5 linked regions of the Callithrix jacchus genome follow. The protein of the gene in region 1 interacts with the protein of each later gene in a biochemical or structural test. Links are inferred from orthologs where the notes say so. Each region holds a gene or a part of one and is shown on either strand. Other genes may lie near its edges.

Region 1 (3,500 bases):
CCTGGCTATGTCATGTCTCTCTACTTTCAAAAGGGCTTCAGCCAGACACAGTGGCATGAACCTGTAGTCCCAGCTGCTCAGGAGGTTAAGGTGGGAAGATTGCTTGAGCCCAGGAATTTGAGGCCAGTCTGGGCAATATAGTGAGATCCCCATCTCCAAGTAGATAGGTAGATGACAGATAGATAATAGATGGATAGATAAGTCACTAGACAATCCCCATCCTAAATCATACACCCACCCACCCACAAACAGGCCTTTGTCACGTCATGTTTTGTGGCCCGCCTGCCAGCACTGCCCACAGTTGCTGCCACCTCCAAACTCATCAGTCACTGGCAAACAGGAGGAATTTGTGTGGCTTATGTCTGGGCATCAGTGGCTCTGGGAGACATCCTTGATCTTCTCCAGCTTCTCTTTCCACATTTTCCTTTGCAATCTGGCAATATGTCTCAAAATGTGCATGCCTTTTGACCTAACAGCTCTACTTCTAGGACCCACTTACACGTGTGTGACATGTTCATACAGGGTTGTTTATCCCTGTTGTTCATACACACCATTGCCTGTAATCACCAAAGGCAGGAGCAGCCTAAACCTCCAGCCACAGAGTAGATGCCTTTTGGTACATCCACGGGGAGGGAATACTAAGCAGCCTTTGTATGTATGTACTCACACATGTGTTTATAGATGAAATATCTCTGGAGGATCCATAAGGAACTGAAAATGACCACTGTCTCTGGGGAGGGTATCTGGGTGCCTGGGAGGCAGATCAGGGGAGGAGTGGACACAGGTATTACCATTTGGAAGACACTAAAAACAGCTCCTGGCCAGGTGTGGTGGCTCACACCTGTAATGCCAGCACTCTGGGAGGCCGAGTCAAGTGGATTACTTGAGTCCAACAGTTTGAGACCAGCCTAGGCAACATAGTAAAACACCATCTCTATTAAATATACAAAAAATTAGCCAGGTGTGGTGGTGCATGCCTGTAATCCTAGCTACTCGGGAGGCTGAGGTGGGAGAATGACCTGAGCCCAGGAGGTTGAGGCTGCAGTGAGGTGAGATTGTGCCACTATACTCCAGCCTGGGCGACAGAGCAAGACCCTGTCTCAAAAACAAAACCAGTCCTTGGCACTGTGGGCCAGACCTGGCGGGACAGTTGGCAGGGCTTGTCTCCCTTTCTCTGGCACTTTATCTCACCCTCCCTCTTCTCCTTGAAGATTGAAACCCACAAGCTGACCTTCCGTGAGAACGCCAAAGCCAAGACAGACCACGGGGCGGAAATCGTGTACAAGTCTCCGGTGGTGTCTGGGGACACATCTCCACGGCACCTCAGCAACGTCTCCTCCACCGGCAGCATTGACATGGTAGACTCGCCCCAGCTTGCCACGTTAGCCGACGAGGTGTCCGCCTCCCTGGCCAAGCAGGGTTTGTGATCAGGCCTCCGGGGCAGTCAGTAATCGTGGAGAGGAGAGAGAGTGAGAGTGTGTGGAAAAAAAAAGAATAATGACCCGGCCCCCACCCTCTGCCCCCAGCTGCTCCTCGCAGTTCGGTTAATCACTTAACATGCTTTTGTTGCTCGGCTTTGGCTCGGGACTTCAAAATCAGTGATGGGAATAAGAGCAAATTTCATCTTTCCAAATTGATGGGTGGGCTAATATTTTTTAAAAACACTCAAAAACATGGCCACACCCAACATTTCCTAGGGCAATTCCTTTTGATTTTTTCCCTCCCTCTGTGTAGAAGAGGGAGGAGAGGCTCTGAAAGCTGCTTCTGGGGGATTTCAAGGGACTGGGGGTGTCCACCACCTCTGGCCCAATCCAGGGGGTGTCACAGAGGCAGCGGCAGCAACAAAAGATTTGAAACTTGGTGTGTTTGTGGAGCCACAGGCAGATGATGTCAGCCTTGTGTGAGTGTGACGGGGGTGGAGTGGGAGGCCAAGGCAGGGGCTGGGCAGAGGGGAGAGGAAGCCACATGCTGGAGAGGAGATGCTGCCCCACTCCATGCCGATGGGAGGGCCAAGGCCTCCGCTGCCTGCAGCATCTCAGACCAAGTGGTGCCTGTCCTTTGTGGCTGGGGCCTGCTACGGGTCGGTGTGCCACCCTCTGCTGGGCAGCCTGTGGGAGAAGGGACAGCGGGCAAGAGGAGAAGGCAGGCCGGCGGGAGGGTGGTGCCCCATGGATGATTTCCTTGGAGAAGACTGATCTTGACATCTGAGGGCGCTGGCCTCTTCCTCCCTCTCTGCAGGGTGGGGGGCCTGAGCTGAGGGACTTCTCTCTGCTCCACAAAACCCTGTTTTATTGAGTTCTGAAGGTTGGAACTGCAGCCACGATTTTGGCCACCTCACAGACCTGGGACTTTAGGGCTAACCAGTTCTCTTTGTAAGGACTTGTGCCTATTGGGAGACATCCACCTGTTTCCAAGCCTGGGCCACCGGCATCTCTGGAGTGTACAGGGGTCTGGGAAGTGGGTCCTGAGCCTCCTGTCCTTCCCATGGCCACTGCCATCACCCGTCTGCCCCGCCGTGCCACTGTTTGCCATGAGAGCCCATTCACTGCCTGTATCCCACATCACGTCACCATGTCACCACCTACTTATCAGTAATGACCCTGCGGGAGGTTGGCTTCGGGAGGTACCTACTCCATACTGAGGGCAAAATTAAGGGAAGGCAAAATCCAGGCACAAGAGTGGGACCCCAGCCTCTCACTCTCAGTGTCAGTCATCTAACTGGTGTGCCCCTCACCACGAATCTCATGACCTGATTCTGTTCCCTGCCTCGTCCTCCCTTCACAGATGTGAGCCAGGGCACTGCTCAGCTGTGACCCTAGATGTTTCTACCTTGCTGATGTGGAGAGAGCCCTTTGCCCCCAGAAGGCCTGGCCCCTTCCGGTGCTGAGCTGGCAGCAGGAGGCTGGGTGTCCTGGTTGTCAGTCATGGCACTAGGACAGGTGGGCAAGGCACCCAGGGCAGGCCCACAGTCCCGCTGTCTCCCACTTCTACCCCAGCTTGTGGCTGCCAGCCTCCCAGACAGCCCAGCCGCTGCTCAGCTCCACATGCATAGAATCAGCCCTCCACACCCCCGAAAGGGGAACACGCCCCCTCGGAAATGGTTTTCCCCCCAGTCCCAGCTGGAAGCCATGCTGTCTGTTCTGCTGGAGCAGCTAAACATATACATAGATATTGCCCTGCCCTCCCCATCTGTACCCTGTTGCGTTGTAGTTGGATTTGTCTGTTAATGCTTGGATTCACCAGAGTGACTATGATAGTGAAAAAAAAAAAAAAAAGGACGCATGTATCTTGAAATGCTTGTAAAGAGGTTTCTAAGCCACCCTCACAAGGTGTCTCTCACCCCCATGCTGGGACTCAGTTCCAGGCCAGTGTGGCTCCAACCTGCTGGGGCCTCCCAAGTTTTATAAGGCTTTCATCAGCACCTGGGACCCAACAGAGACCAGATTCTAGCATCGAAGGAGGCCCTTCAGCTGTGAGGGCCTGAAGCACAGGATTAGGAC
Region 2 (3,940 bases), on another chromosome or scaffold:
CCTCCCGCAGTACATCCACTCGGCCGGGATCATCCACCGGGTAGGTGCGGCCGCAGGGTGAGGGTTGGGTCTGGCAGGGCTCTGCCCCGGCCTCCTGCCCTCACGCTCACGCTCGTAGTGACCTGCAGGACCTGAAGCCCAGCAACGTGGCTGTGAACGAGGACTGTGAGCTCAGGGTGAGGCCTGTGGGCAGGGGTGGGCAGGGTGGCGGCGGAGCCTGTTCGGGGCTTGAAAACACCTTGTGGTCGCCCCAGATCCTGGACTTCGGGTTGGCCCGCCAGGCAGACGAAGAGATGACGGGCTACGTGGCCACGCGCTGGTACCGGGCCCCTGAAATCATGCTCAACTGGATGCATTACAACCAGACAGGTGCAGGGGGAAGGCCTGGCCGGGACGGAGGCCAAAGGCCCTGGCCCTGCATGCTCACTCTTGGTGGGCAGGCAAGGTCCCCAAAAATGTGAGACCCACATTCAAAAGCAGCCCTTCAGAGGCTGCTAGAACATGATGGGTGCTGGACCCTTCTGGCCCCGCAGCTGTCGCCTCCCCCTGCCCAGGGCTGCATGTGGCAGAGGAGGGGGTCTACCTGTCTTGGGGTCTGGATGTGACTTCGGGTCTCCTGGAGGAGGGATGTGGGGTGGGCACACTGACGGAGGCCCCCCGCCCTCACACAGTGGACATCTGGTCTGTGGGCTGCATCATGGCTGAGCTACTCCAGGGCAAGGCCCTCTTCCCGGGAAGCGACTGTATCCTTGGCTCAGGTTGGGGAGCAGGGTCAAACGGGGCCCCTCCTGTAGGGTAGGGGCTGGTGCTGGCCCCTTCTGGTGGGTCTTGCCTCCTCTGCCCTCCCGCATGCCATGCTACCTTGGGGTGGCCATCCTCAGCTATAGGAGAGCGGGCTCTGGGCAGTGCCCCAAATCTTGGGTCTGAGGGCCTAGGAGAGGTCCGCGGCTGGCCGCTGGGTGTTTCCTGAGTGATGCAGACATTGACCAGCTGAAGCGCATCATGGAAGTGGTGGGCACACCCAGCCCGGAGGTTCTGGCAAAGATCTCCTCGGAACACGTGAGTAGGTGCCCGCCAGCCAGCAGCTCCCTCTGCTGGTTGAGCCCCCAGGCTCTCTGGGGGAGAGGGTAGTATTGAAATGCAGGGACAATGTGGGGAACATGGGACGTGGTGGGATAGAGCCCAGGGCAGGTGCCCAATCCCTGCAGGGGGAACAGGAGAACAGCAAAGACATTCCTGACACCAGGGACGGTGGGTGCTAAGCCATGATCCCAGCAAGCAGTGCCTGGCCATGGCAGTGGGGGTGGGCTGGGGGCAAGGAGTGACCAGCTCCTGCAGGCATCAGGGGCTAAGTGAGGAGCTAGAGCCACCAGCTCTACGCAGAGGGGTTCACTGGTCTGCCTATGCCCTTGTCCTGGCCCGTTGGAGTGAATGAGTGTAGTGGCTTGCTGAGAGAAGCCCCAGTTTGGGGCCAGGGAGGCAGAGAGTGAGCAGCCTCCCCAGGTGGTGTTGTTTGCTCCCAGGCCCGGACATACATCCAGTCCTTACCCCCCATGCCCCAGAAGGACCTGAGCAGCATCTTCCACGGAGCCAACCCCCTGGGTGAGGACTGCCCTGGGGCTAGACTGGGCTCCATATCTGGTCCTGGATGTAGAGCTGACCCCCACCCCCAATGGCTCTCCTGCAGCCATAGACCTCCTAGGAAGGATGCTGGTGCTGGATAGTGACCAGAGGGTCAGTGCGGCAGAGGCGCTGGCCCACGCCTACTTCAGCCAGTACCATGACCCTGAGGATGAGCCAGAGGCCGAGCCGTACGACGAGAGTGTTGAGGCCAAGGAGCGCACCGTGGAGGAGTGGAAGGGTGGGCATGGCAGTGGCTGGGGTTGGGTCCAGGGGCCTTCGGGCTGCCTTACCCCAGAGGCAGGAAGTTCCCAGAGGAACTCCAGTTCCTCTCCAGACTGGTCAGGGGCAGAAGGGCATGCAGGTGTCCGCACAGGCTGCGGGGTGGCACAGGGCAGGTTCTGGCTCCCAGACTCTGTGCTGAGGCTGCTGTCATAGTGTGGTGGGCCTGGGCCGGGTGGCAGGTGCCAGATAAGCAGGTGGGAGGCTGGGCTGTGGGAGGCACAAGCTTACCCTTTCCCTTCACCTCCTAGAGCTCACCTACCAGGAAGTCCTCAGCTTCAAGCCCCCAGAGCCACCGAAGCCGCCTGGCAGCCTGGAGATTGAGCAGTGAGGTGCTGCCCGGTAGCCTCTGACAGCCTGTGGAGGGGCCTGGGCCTGCACCTTTCCACAGTTGATCTGGTTTCCTCAAGAGGCGCCTCCCATACTCCTATGGTCACTGACTCCTGGTCTAGGACCCCTTGCCTTCAGGAGAATCCACACACGTATGCATGCACAAACATGTTGTACATGTGCTTGCCATGTGTAGGAGTCTGGGCACAAGTGTCCCTAGGCCTACCTTGGTCCTCCTGCCCCCTCCTGGCCACTGCACTCTCCACTGGGACCTGACTGTGGGGTCCTGGATGCCAAAGGACTTCCCCTGGGGAGTTCCCCTGTCTGTCCTAGGCCGACCCATGGGGAGTGTCAGCCAAGGGATCTCTTCTGTCTCAGGGCTCTGGAGGGCGCACTGGGGCCGGGAACCCCGGAGACTGAAAGGGAGAGGTCTCAGTCACTACAGATGCTCAGCCTAGAAGTAGGGGACTGCCCTGGTCACTGCTGAGACCCACAGGTCTTGAGAGGCAGAGCCAGTGTGCCACCAGGCTGGGCAGTGACAACCATCACGTATCAAATAAGAAAAGCTGCCTGGAGCCTTGTGTTCACCCATGGGTGTGGGCACGCGTGGATGGGCATGCACTCCCTGTGTTCATGGCAGGGCACATGTGGTGCATGTGAATCCGTGAGCACCCAAGGGACAGCAGCCATGTCTGGCAAGAACCCTGAGCTGGGGCGGGTGTGCTGCTGCCTTCCCTCCCCCCAGTTCCTGATGCTTGAGGGATGTTGGGATTCAGACTAGAGGCTCCAGTGAACCACGTGAGCACAGTAGGGGCTTTTTCCTCGGACGTGGGAGCTATAGCAGGTTCCTGAGGCTGGAGGTGGGCGTTGGTTCAGCCTTGAGGACTCTAAGGCAGGCCGAACACGTAGATGTGGACTTGGATTCCGACACTCCTGTCCCAGCACCCTGGCCCACTCTCTACCTCTGCCCACCGTGTGGCCCTGCAGCCAGAGATCGGAGGTGCTCTGGTCTGCGGGTTAGTCATCCTCTTTCCTTGTCCCAGGATGGAGCTGATCCAATAACCCTGGAAGATGGGACCCTGCTCAGAGCTGAGTTGGGAGTGTGGCTTTGCCCTGGAAAGGCGGTGACCTCTTGCCTTGAGGGGCCCAGGAAAGCCTGGGTGTCAAGTGCCTGCACCAGGGGTGCACAATAAAGGGGGTTCTCTCTTGCTCGGCTCATATCCAAAGGCCACTACAGGCCCTGCTGCTGGGGGTGGGGGAAGTGTCTGGGTCACCCTTCATCACTTGTCTCCAGCTGGCCAGATCCCTCAGTCTCTCAGTCAGACAAGCAGCCATCTTCTGGCACCCTCCCTGCTCCCCGGAGGGTCTGAGAGCCCAGGGGGACCAAGAGAAGACATGGCTGATGGGTGGGCTCTGTGCATAGGGTGTGACAGCCACCCAGATGGTGACCCCAGCTGCCCTATGGGGATGTACTGGGCAGGCTTGGCTTCTGGCCAAGATCCAGACCCCACCCCCCACAGTGGTCAGGGAGGCTGGCTGGGGAGTAGTTGGGTGTCTCAGGGAGTAAGGGTCTGCCCATCCCTGGTGGGGTGGGGCTGGGCAGGGTAAGGAAAATAGCTTTCCTTTCCTTTCTGTTGAAGATTAAAGAGCCCACTTTAATCTGAGGGATGTATGCGATAGTCCCATTCCCACTATACACGGTAGTTTA
Region 3 (3,500 bases), about 51 Mb from region 1:
GGGTTGGGGCCTAGTGAGGTGCAGCTGGTCCAGCCTGACCCTGTCATGAGCTGGTTTTGCCTGTGGCTTTCTGGGTGTGGGTGTGAGAATGCCCTGGAGCAGCCCAGCCTTGGGTTCACTGTCTGAGCTTAATTATTCAGATGCCACTGCCAGAATTGAAGCTCCTCTGTAACTGTTGTGTTCTTTCATTAAAAACTGTTTAGTTATCAGTTTTGAATAGAAAAGGTTGGCGCTTTTGCAGGTGACAGTCTAATGAAGTAGCAGAACTGCTTCTTGGGAGGATACAAAAATGGCAGCCATGTCCGATGGTGGTGCAGGGTCGAGGCGGGGCGGGGGTGTCCTGGTCCGGGCCTCAGCACCTCCAGGTGCTGGGTGGGGTGGGCTCTGTAGGGCGGGTCAGTCCTCTGGCAGGGCTGTGCTGCCTCGGGAGGTGTCAGAGCCACCCTCCTGCTGTGTTGGAGTCCCCTGGCCCTCAGAGCAGGCTGGGCTGTGTGTAGTCCAGTGGACGTGGCTGTGTCCAGTGAGCTTTATTTGCAGGAAAAGGTGGTAGCTGGGTTTGGGTCTGGGGCAGTAGTTTGCAGGCCCCTGCTGCACAGCATTGGCAGTTAGAATCTACTCTTTCGTAGGCTGCTGTCTTGGCTTAAAAGCTGATCTCCCCACCCCCATGCATCTGGATGGTGCAGCACAGACCTGCTGCCGGCCTCACCTCCACACCTATGCAGACTGTTGGGGGCCGCAGGGTCTGGACCCTGAGTGGACTCCTTATCTGACCAAACGCTCTCATCCCCGCCCCACTTTCCTCCCCAGCTGTCACCATTTGGGGCCTGTCTCTGGCCTCCAGTGGTTCCTGTTCCGCTCCTTTCCCTGCACGTGTCAGTGAGGATGTTCACAGAGGAGCAGGCAGCCCAGCTGCTGCCCATTTTGAAGTTTAAGGAAGTTCTGATCCCCCAGGGAAGTGCTGTGGCGAGTGGGGTTTTTTCAATTGTTGGGGGAGCTTAGAGGCCTGGCTCTGACCCCTTTCTGGGATGGCACTGGCATCCCATGGAGAGAAACGTTGTGCAGTATGCGGGCGGCTTCGCAGCCAGTCTTGAGCCCCAGTGCCCTTTGGTAGGTATTTACTCACATGGCTGGGGCAGCCCAGAACCTGGGGTTGCTTTCTGCCAAATCCGGTTCCATCCCGGCCTCACCTCCTTCCTCCTCAGGGTGCCAGCCGGGCTGCCGACGACGCTGAGCGGGAGCGCAGGGACCGAGAGGAGCGGCTGAGACACTCGCGGAACCCGGCCACCCGCGGCCTCCCTTCCACAGCCTCTGGCCGCCTTCGGGGGACGCAGGAAGTGGCTCCCCCCACACCCCTTACCCCTACCTCACACACAGGTGAGTGCCCCCCTCCCAGCACTCTGGGACGGCTTCCTGTGTCTCAGGGTTGGTGGGGGCAATGCACTTGGTGGTGGACACTGTGAATTTCCCACGTCAGGTGATGCTTACTCCTGAGAGTGGATGAGCCGGGCTGCCTGGGCGCCTTTAGAAATGCAGGCACCTGCTGGTGTGTGTGATTCCTCCCGTATCCCATGTTTCTCCTTTGTTCCTCCGGCTGGATTTGAGTGTTGGTGGCCATCAGCTCTGCCGGCTCCTGACTGTCCAGGCAGCCCAGGGTCCTCTCCGGCCACAGCCTCTCACAGGAAGAAAGCCCTGAGTGGCAAGCAGCAGCCAGGGGCAGCCCACTCCATTTCTCTTCCTCTCTCAGCTAACACCTCCCCCCGGCCCGTCTCTGGCATGGAGAGAGAGCGGAAAGTGAGTATGCGGCTGCACCGCGGGGCGCCCGTCAACATCTCCTCTTCCGACCTCACGGGCCGACAAGATACCTCTCGCATGTCCACCTCACAGGTAGGTGCAGAGCTCCTGGGTGGGCACCGGCCTTGACTGTGCCATCCAAGTCCAGAGCAGGCTGTGATTTCTGAAGGGCGTGTTTCCTTCCTTCCTTTTTTCCCCCATTTTTGAGAGTTTTTAATCTCGCTGAGGCGTGGTGGCCTGGTTGCTGATGAGGCTTCTGGGGAGAGCCTGGGAGACAGGCCGGGCCATCACAGGGCTCGTCTTCTGGTCACAGATGGCCAGTCTCAGGTCTCAGGTGCCCGAGGCCAGCAGACCGTGGGGGTTTTCTCCTGCCATTTGAGTGCCCTGCCGCCCCAGCTATCCCCACGCAGGCAGCAGCACTCGCCTGCTCACGCCTCATCCGGGGTGCATTGGTGAGTGCCCTGGCCCAAGAACCTTCCTCATTCTTGCCACTGGCCAGGGTTGGAGGCCTGTAGGGACCTCCACAGGCTCCTCATAAGACCCTCTCTGCTAGTGTGCCCTGCAGCGAGGCTTCCATTCTTTTGACGGCCTTGTCTGTCTTCCTTCAGATAAGAAGCACCCCTGCTTCGCAGCAAAGGCAGGCAGCCCGGGTTGGCCACAGGTGCCGCCTCGTCAGCATCCTCCTCCAGCAGCCTCTCTTCTCCTCTCCTCGCTCTGGCTTGTTGTCTTTTGCGTTTACTAATGTGCTCTTCGAACCAGAACAGCTTTCTACCTATGAATCTGTTGTGTTTCTTCAGAGTGTTCTGGGTTGTTCACCAACAGGGGCAGGGTTGCCCTGTCATGGCTGTGTTTCACTAGCAGGAATCCTCGGGGTACCCAGATTCCCCACAGGTCTTCTGGATGAGCAGGAACTCAGTTCAGAAACGTCCTAGAGTCTGGCTGTGGGCTTGTGGGGCAGTGTCTCTTGGGGTCACAGGATGGAGCCAGGCCCACTGTCGTGAGCAGGGCTTGGTGTAGCTGGCTAGCCAGGAAAGCGCCGGTGTGGGGAGCACTCTTGGCCACTTGCTATCTTTTAATAAGTGAGTTTAGGCCGGGCATGGTGGCTCACGCCTGTAATTCCAACACTTTGGGAGACCGAGGCAGGTGGATCATGAGGTCAGGAGTTCAAGACCAGCCTGACCAAGATGATGAAACCCCATCTTCACTGGAAAAAAAATTTTTTTGAAAAACTAGCTGGGTGTGGTGGCAGGCACCTGTAATCCTTGCTTACTTGGGAGGCTGAGACAGGAGAGTCACTTGAACCCAGGAATCAGAGATTGTAGTGAGCTGAGATCGTGCCACTGCACTTCAGCCTGGCCGACAGAGTAAGATTCTGCCTCAAAAAAAAAAAGTGAGTTTATTGCACGTTTCTAATTCACTAGTAACTTAACTAGAAATGGATTTCTTATATGGTAACATTCTCTCAAAGAAACCAAAGATGCAGAGATTTTGACTTTGTAGTTATTTGCATTGGGCATGAGGGGTCCGGCCTGCATCAAGAGAGTGGTCCCTTACATGCACACAGCCCTGGTCTCACCTCCAGACACAGAAATGGTTTAACAGGTTTCTTCCCACGAGCCTGGCACTCACACCTCAATTACTGGGAGCAGGCCCCAGGAGGGTCTGCCCGTGCCCACCTGTTTTCTTGACACATGGTGGTTCTGTAGCCC
Region 4 (3,500 bases), on another chromosome or scaffold:
CTTGATTTTTATATGCAGAGAGCAATGAATAGAATTTGAAAATATCATTCTTACAGTGAAAAAATATGTAGTAGTTTAGAATTTTTAAGGAGAATTTATCAAAAATAACCAAAATAAAAAATAATTTGGATTTTTTTTCCCTACTACATGGTTATTCATTCAGTGAAACCAGTACTTACTGAGTTAATGAGAGTAAACAAATAAGCAGTTGTTTATCATGTTCCTGGCACTGATTTTGGTTTGTTTTTATTTTGTTTTTGTACAGTCAATACTTGTTATATGTGGAGACTAGTTTTTGGTTATAGAGAATATTTGAGTTTTAATGGAATTTTATTCTCTCTTAGGTCATGTTTACTGGTGAAAATATTCCTGTTCATCCTCATGTTTATAGCAATGGTCATATCTGTTTATCCATTCTAACAGAAGACTGGTCCCCAGCGCTCTCAGTCCAATCAGTTTGTCTTAGCATTATTAGCATGCTTTCCAGCTGCAAAGAAAAGGTAGGACTTTTCAGAATTATTCCAGAAAATATCTCTTCTCTCACTTTAGGTAGATAAACAATTTTAATATGTAATTATTTTTATTTGGAGAAAGGACTTATACTTTTTTATTTTAAAACTATAGGGAATTTCACGTTTAATAATAAATTGGAAAATTATTTTGATACCTTTCATTCCAAATAGAAGTTTTAAATGTTGAATGGGGTAGAAGCCAGACTTACTGTTTCATATTTTTTTAAACAGGAAATGTGTGCACATGTTCTTAAATAATCTGATTTTATTCCCAAAAGCATGCACAGGGTAAAAGTGTACAAGAAATTCTTTTTGTGGATTTCACAGTGGAAAGCCTCAGAAATATGCATCATAGCTTCCTTCTCCCCTCCGCCAGCTCCCACCCTACCAGCATGTTTCAGGGAATTTTTCAGGAACCAGAGCTTTCCTATCCTAATAATTAGGTTGAAGGAGGAAGACCAATTTACCAGTAGAATTTTCAGGATGTTTCTTCCTGTTCTCCTTTATTAATCCACAGATTCTGTGTCTGTCTAATGGAAGTGGCGGTGGGGGGGGTGAGAAACAGAAAGAAAAAATCACTTACTAAATTTAAAATGTAGGCTGGCTTCCGTGGCTCATGCCTGTAATCCCAGCACTTTGCTGGGAGGCCGAAGCAGGCAGATCACCTGAGGTCAGGAGTTAGAGGCCAGCCTGGCCAACATGGTGAAACCCGTCTCTACTAAAAATACAAAAATTAGCTGGATGTGATGGTGTGCATTTCTAATCCCAGCTGTGTGAGAGACTTGTGGTAGGAGAATCGCTTGAACCCAGGAGGCAGAGGTTTCAGTGAGCCAAGATCGTGCTACTGCACTCCAGCCTGGGTGACAGAGTGAGACTCCATCTCAAAAATAATACAGTAAATTTAAAATACATACATAAATTTAGGATACCCTTATACCCTTTAAAGGTGTCTGAATCCTCTGTGCATTTCTGATCCTCTTATTCCTGCTTGAGGGTTAGTATAGCATAATATTCATGTATTTCTACATTTTAAAATCCCTCTTAAATCCCCATGAGGGTTTCCTTTTGCATTCTGTTTAAAGGAAAAACAAATTTGCCCTCGTAGTTAGGGAGCTATTTGTGTTTTGCAGTTTTCTTCTCTGTTCTCCAAATTGAACTGATTGCCATTTTTATTAAATTAGTATTTGGAGAACGTTTAAGATAATAGTTCATTTTAAAATGATAGGTTATTTAGAACCGGAAGCACTCTAAGCCACAGCATATGAAATAATGGGTTAAATTGCTTTTGTTTTGTTTTTACTCATTTGTTGCTTATTGCTTTTATATTTTCTCCTCTCACCCACCCCAGCACATACAAGTGTTAAACTTTTATGTGTAGGGCAAAGCAGTTTGTGGGTATAAGGCCTTCTATGTTCCTGTTATGCTTTAAGTCTATAGAAAGGTAAGATGGTAACAACAGGATTTAATAAGAAAGTTATGAAGAGGTGAACATCAGCGATATCTGTATATAGTCTTGCATGTGCCTCATGATTATTAGATTTTGTTTACATTTAAATGTATTATTATTAAAAACTAGAGAATGACTATATTCTGTATGTTTTCTTCATCATCATTTAACCTTCACGGTTCCCCTTACATTCTAATTGTCTGCTAATAGTGTTTCTTGCATACTTAATATAAGACTAATCATTCCATTTAAAGCACTAATAAACTGTATTTTTACTGTTACCATTGTATAATATGTTTAACAAGATGATCTGGAAGTCAGGATTTCCATCAAATATGATAAAATTCAAAAAATTTACTAGTATGTGCTACTTTTACTGTGCTAAGTGATAAGTTACAAAGATGAAAAGGAAATTTTCTTTGGCATTGAGAGGATCCAGCTCCAAAGAAACCTTAAAAAGTCTTTTAGGCAAGGTGCAGTGGATCACTTGAGGCCAGGAGTTCGAGACCAGCCTAGGCAAAATGGCTAAACGCCATCAACTAAGAATAGAAAAATTAGCTGGGTGTGGTGGTGCATGCCTGTAGACCCAGCTACTTGGGTGGCTGATGCACGAGAATTGCTTAAACCCAGGAGGTCAGGGTTGCAGTAAGCTGAGATCGCACCACTGCACTTCAGCCTGTGGCAATAGAGCAAGACTCTGCCTCAAACAAAACAAAACAGTATTTTAAATACCCACTTACATGTTTTACTGTTAAAATGGGTAAAGTTTATTCTGTAGTAGACATGGTTCTATGGGCTTTACTTTGATAGTTAATTCTATTACTATTAAAATATTTTACTTTAGGTGTTTGAGACTCTAGTCATAATTCTTTTATTCCAGTTTCCTTTTACACAGTCAGGAGTGGTTCCATGAGCTGAAGGTATTTAAATTCAGTATGTCATTAGATTACAGTGGATTAAAGATAATTTCTGATATTTTGATCATGGGCCTTTCAGTAAATGCCACTTTACTCACATGCCTTTATAATACACTTACATCGTTCACACTTTGCAGTTTGTATCCCATTCCTAAAACAATTTCATAAGCTTTCTTTTGTTTAGTTTCTTTTCTAAGAACAATATCTCCCTGATCACTTAAGAGGGAGATTGGTGATTTAAGCAAATGAGAATGGGTATTTTTTTCTAAATATTTTTTGAAGACTTTTCTGATGATTCTTGGGTTCTAATCAATATATACATAAAATGAATTTGTGAAATTATTTGCTGTAGTAGTACCAATTCCGTATGAACATAGATTTGACTTTGTAGAATCATCCCTTCCTTGAAGTATCTAATTTCATAATATTAATTTTTTAGGAATTTTCTCTAATTGTATCCCCAGATTAACTTGGGATACTTTCATGTCTTGTGCTGTAACATTTTTTTATTGTTGTTAAATTAATATTAACACACAGGGCATTATGAGGTTCAACTAGGATGAAAGTTATGTATATATATGAATTTTAGAAGTGTCAAATTGACTTGCTGTTTTCCGTCCTGCT
Region 5 (2,159 bases), on another chromosome or scaffold:
AGGTTCCTGGCACTGCCAGTCAGAAGGAAGGTGGGTTGGAGCAGGAGGGCTGGTCCATTCATTCTGGGTCCCCTCAGGAGGGAGAGCACGGCTCTGGGGTGACCCCAAGTTCTCAAGTCTTTGTCCAGAGCCCTTGTCCTGAGCACCGAGCACCACTGGCTCAGGGAAGCCGCAGCGGGTGTGAGGGGGTGCTGAGTGGGGCCTACTCTACAGAAGAGAGAACAGGCATGGGGCTGGAGTCTGGACTGCAGAGCCCACGACCCCACCTGCTACCCCTCTTCTCCCTGCATAGGTCAGAGTGGGGCCGGCAACAACTGGGCCAAGGGCCACTACACGGAGGGTGCGGAGCTGGTGGATTCGGTCCTGGACGTCGTGCGGAAGGAGTGTGAAAACTGCGACTGCCTCCAGGGCTTCCAGCTGACCCACTCGCTGGGCGGGGGCACGGGCTCTGGCATGGGCACGCTGCTCATCAGCAAGGTGCGCGAGGAGTACCCCGACCGCATCATGAACACCTTCAGCGTGGTGCCCTCGCCCAAAGTGTCCGACACGGTGGTGGAGCCTTACAACGCCACGCTGTCCATCCACCAGCTGGTGGAGAACACAGATGAGACCTACTGCATCGACAACGAGGCGCTCTACGACATCTGCTTCCGCACCCTCAAGCTGGCCACGCCCACCTACGGGGACCTCAACCACCTGGTGTCGGCCACCATGAGCGGGGTGACCACCTCGCTGCGCTTCCCAGGGCAGCTCAACGCCGACCTGCGCAAGCTGGCGGTGAACATGGTGCCCTTCCCCCGCCTGCACTTCTTCATGCCCGGCTTCGCGCCCCTCACGGCCCGGGGCAGCCAGCAGTACCGGGCCCTGACCGTGCCCGAGCTCACCCAGCAGATGTTTGACGCCAAGAACATGATGGCTGCCTGCGACCCACGCCACGGCCGCTACCTGACCGTGGCCACTGTGTTCCGGGGCCGCATGTCCATGAAGGAGGTGGACGAGCAGATGCTGGCCATCCAGAGCAAGAACAGCAGCTACTTCGTGGAGTGGATCCCCAACAATGTGAAGGTGGCCGTGTGCGACATCCCGCCCCGCGGCCTCAAGATGTCCTCCACCTTCATCGGCAACAGCACGGCCATCCAGGAGCTGTTCAAGCGCATCTCTGAGCAGTTCACGGCCATGTTCCGGCGCAAGGCCTTCCTGCACTGGTACACGGGCGAGGGCATGGACGAGATGGAGTTCACCGAGGCTGAGAGCAACATGAACGACCTGGTGTCCGAGTACCAGCAGTACCAGGACGCCACGGCTGAGGAGGAGGGCGAGATGTATGAAGATGACGACGAGGAGTCGGAGGCCCAGGGCCCGAAGTGAAGCTGCCTGCAGCTGGCGTGAGGGGCAGGTGGCGGCCGGGGCCAAGGCCAGCAGTGCCTGACCCCCAGAGCCATCTTGCTGCCACCACCGTCCCCTGCTATTCCCCCACCCTCGGGCTCCCGTGCCGCCTCCTGCAGTATTTACGGCCTCCTCCTCCCCACCCGGGCCACCTGTGGCTGCTCTGTCTCTGTCTTAATGCAGCTCCTGGCCTGATGTTTTACGGTTTTGTTTTTTACTGGTTTGCGTTTATATTTTTGGGGATACTTAATAAATCTATTGCTGTCAGATACACTTGCCTGTGCCGGCGACTTCCTTTTGTTCCGGAAAGTGGTGTCCAGTGGGTGGAGGGGCTGGCAGGGAGGCCTGCGTGGACAGGCTGGAGCCCATTCTCTCACAGGCTGGTGGCTGAGTGAGGCCTGTGCTTGGGGCTGGAGGGTGTCTCAAGGCACAGCCCATGGGATCTCCTAGAAGGAGGGACCCGGGAGAAGGAACGGGCAGTGCCTGCCTAGATAAATCCGCAGCCCTCCTGTGACTTAGAAACAACCCTGCGCTCACTCCCTGGTCCCTCAGAGTGGCTTGCCTTCTGGAAACTTCTCCCACCTGTCTGTGTGCTGAAAGTTGGGGCAGGTGGTCCCTGTGGAGGTGGAAACTGACATTAGACCGGAAGCCTCAGGTCAGAACCGGGGAGGTAGGGAAGGGGCCCCGAGCACTCGCTGAAGACCGTGTGTCGGGTGTCTTGGGGCTGGGGCTCTGGGAGGGGCTGCTGGGGTAGGGGAGATGTGGCCACAAGA

The links.
Region 2: of the proteins of MAPT (region 1) and MAPK11, one has a biochemical effect on the other in vitro, tested with the Homo sapiens proteins (2 studies listed by BioGRID). The link is inferred for Callithrix jacchus from reciprocal best matches to the Homo sapiens genes MAPT and MAPK11.
Region 3: of the proteins of MAPT (region 1) and CSNK1D, one has a biochemical effect on the other in vitro, tested with the Homo sapiens proteins (4 studies listed by BioGRID). The link is inferred for Callithrix jacchus from reciprocal best matches to the Homo sapiens genes MAPT and CSNK1D.
Region 4: the proteins of MAPT (region 1) and UBE2W are reported together in a solved structure, tested with the Homo sapiens proteins (2 studies listed by BioGRID, with this or other methods). The link is inferred for Callithrix jacchus from reciprocal best matches to the Homo sapiens genes MAPT and UBE2W.
Region 5: the proteins of MAPT (region 1) and TUBB3 form a complex in vitro, tested with the Homo sapiens proteins (3 studies listed by BioGRID, with this or other methods). The link is inferred for Callithrix jacchus from reciprocal best matches to the Homo sapiens genes MAPT and TUBB3.

What each region holds. Positions count from the first base shown.
Region 1 is NC_133506.1:86,763,000-86,766,499, forward strand, and holds part of MAPT (microtubule-associated protein tau), read left to right. Parts: intron 1-1,211; coding exon 1,212-1,427; 3' UTR 1,428-3,500. UniProt on the Homo sapiens protein: Promotes microtubule assembly and stability, and might be involved in the establishment and maintenance of neuronal polarity.
Region 2 is NC_133502.1:218,842,696-218,846,635, reverse strand, and holds the end of MAPK11 (mitogen-activated protein kinase 11), read left to right. Parts: intron 1-10; coding exon 11-40; intron 41-128; coding exon 129-176; intron 177-254; coding exon 255-369; intron 370-671; coding exon 672-743; intron 744-979; coding exon 980-1,059; intron 1,060-1,523; coding exon 1,524-1,602; intron 1,603-1,687; coding exon 1,688-1,861; intron 1,862-2,153; coding exon 2,154-2,233; 3' UTR 2,234-3,440; downstream 3,441-3,940. UniProt on the Homo sapiens protein: Serine/threonine kinase which acts as an essential component of the MAP kinase signal transduction pathway.
Region 3 is NC_133506.1:137,884,437-137,887,936, reverse strand, and holds part of CSNK1D (casein kinase I), read left to right. Parts: intron 1-1,202; coding exon 1,203-1,374; intron 1,375-1,744; coding exon 1,745-1,884; intron 1,885-3,500. UniProt on the Homo sapiens protein: Essential serine/threonine-protein kinase that regulates diverse cellular growth and survival processes including Wnt signaling, DNA repair and circadian rhythms. It can phosphorylate a large number of proteins.
Region 4 is NC_133517.1:29,502,969-29,506,468, reverse strand, and holds part of UBE2W (ubiquitin-conjugating enzyme E2 W), read left to right. Parts: intron 1-344; coding exon 345-500; intron 501-3,500. UniProt on the Homo sapiens protein: Accepts ubiquitin from the E1 complex and catalyzes its covalent attachment to other proteins.
Region 5 is NC_133521.1:47,572,326-47,574,484, forward strand, and holds the end of TUBB3 (tubulin beta-3 chain), read left to right. Parts: intron 1-292; coding exon 293-1,368; 3' UTR 1,369-1,659; downstream 1,660-2,159. UniProt on the Homo sapiens protein: Tubulin is the major constituent of microtubules, protein filaments consisting of alpha- and beta-tubulin heterodimers. Microtubules grow by the addition of GTP-tubulin dimers to the microtubule end, where a stabilizing cap forms.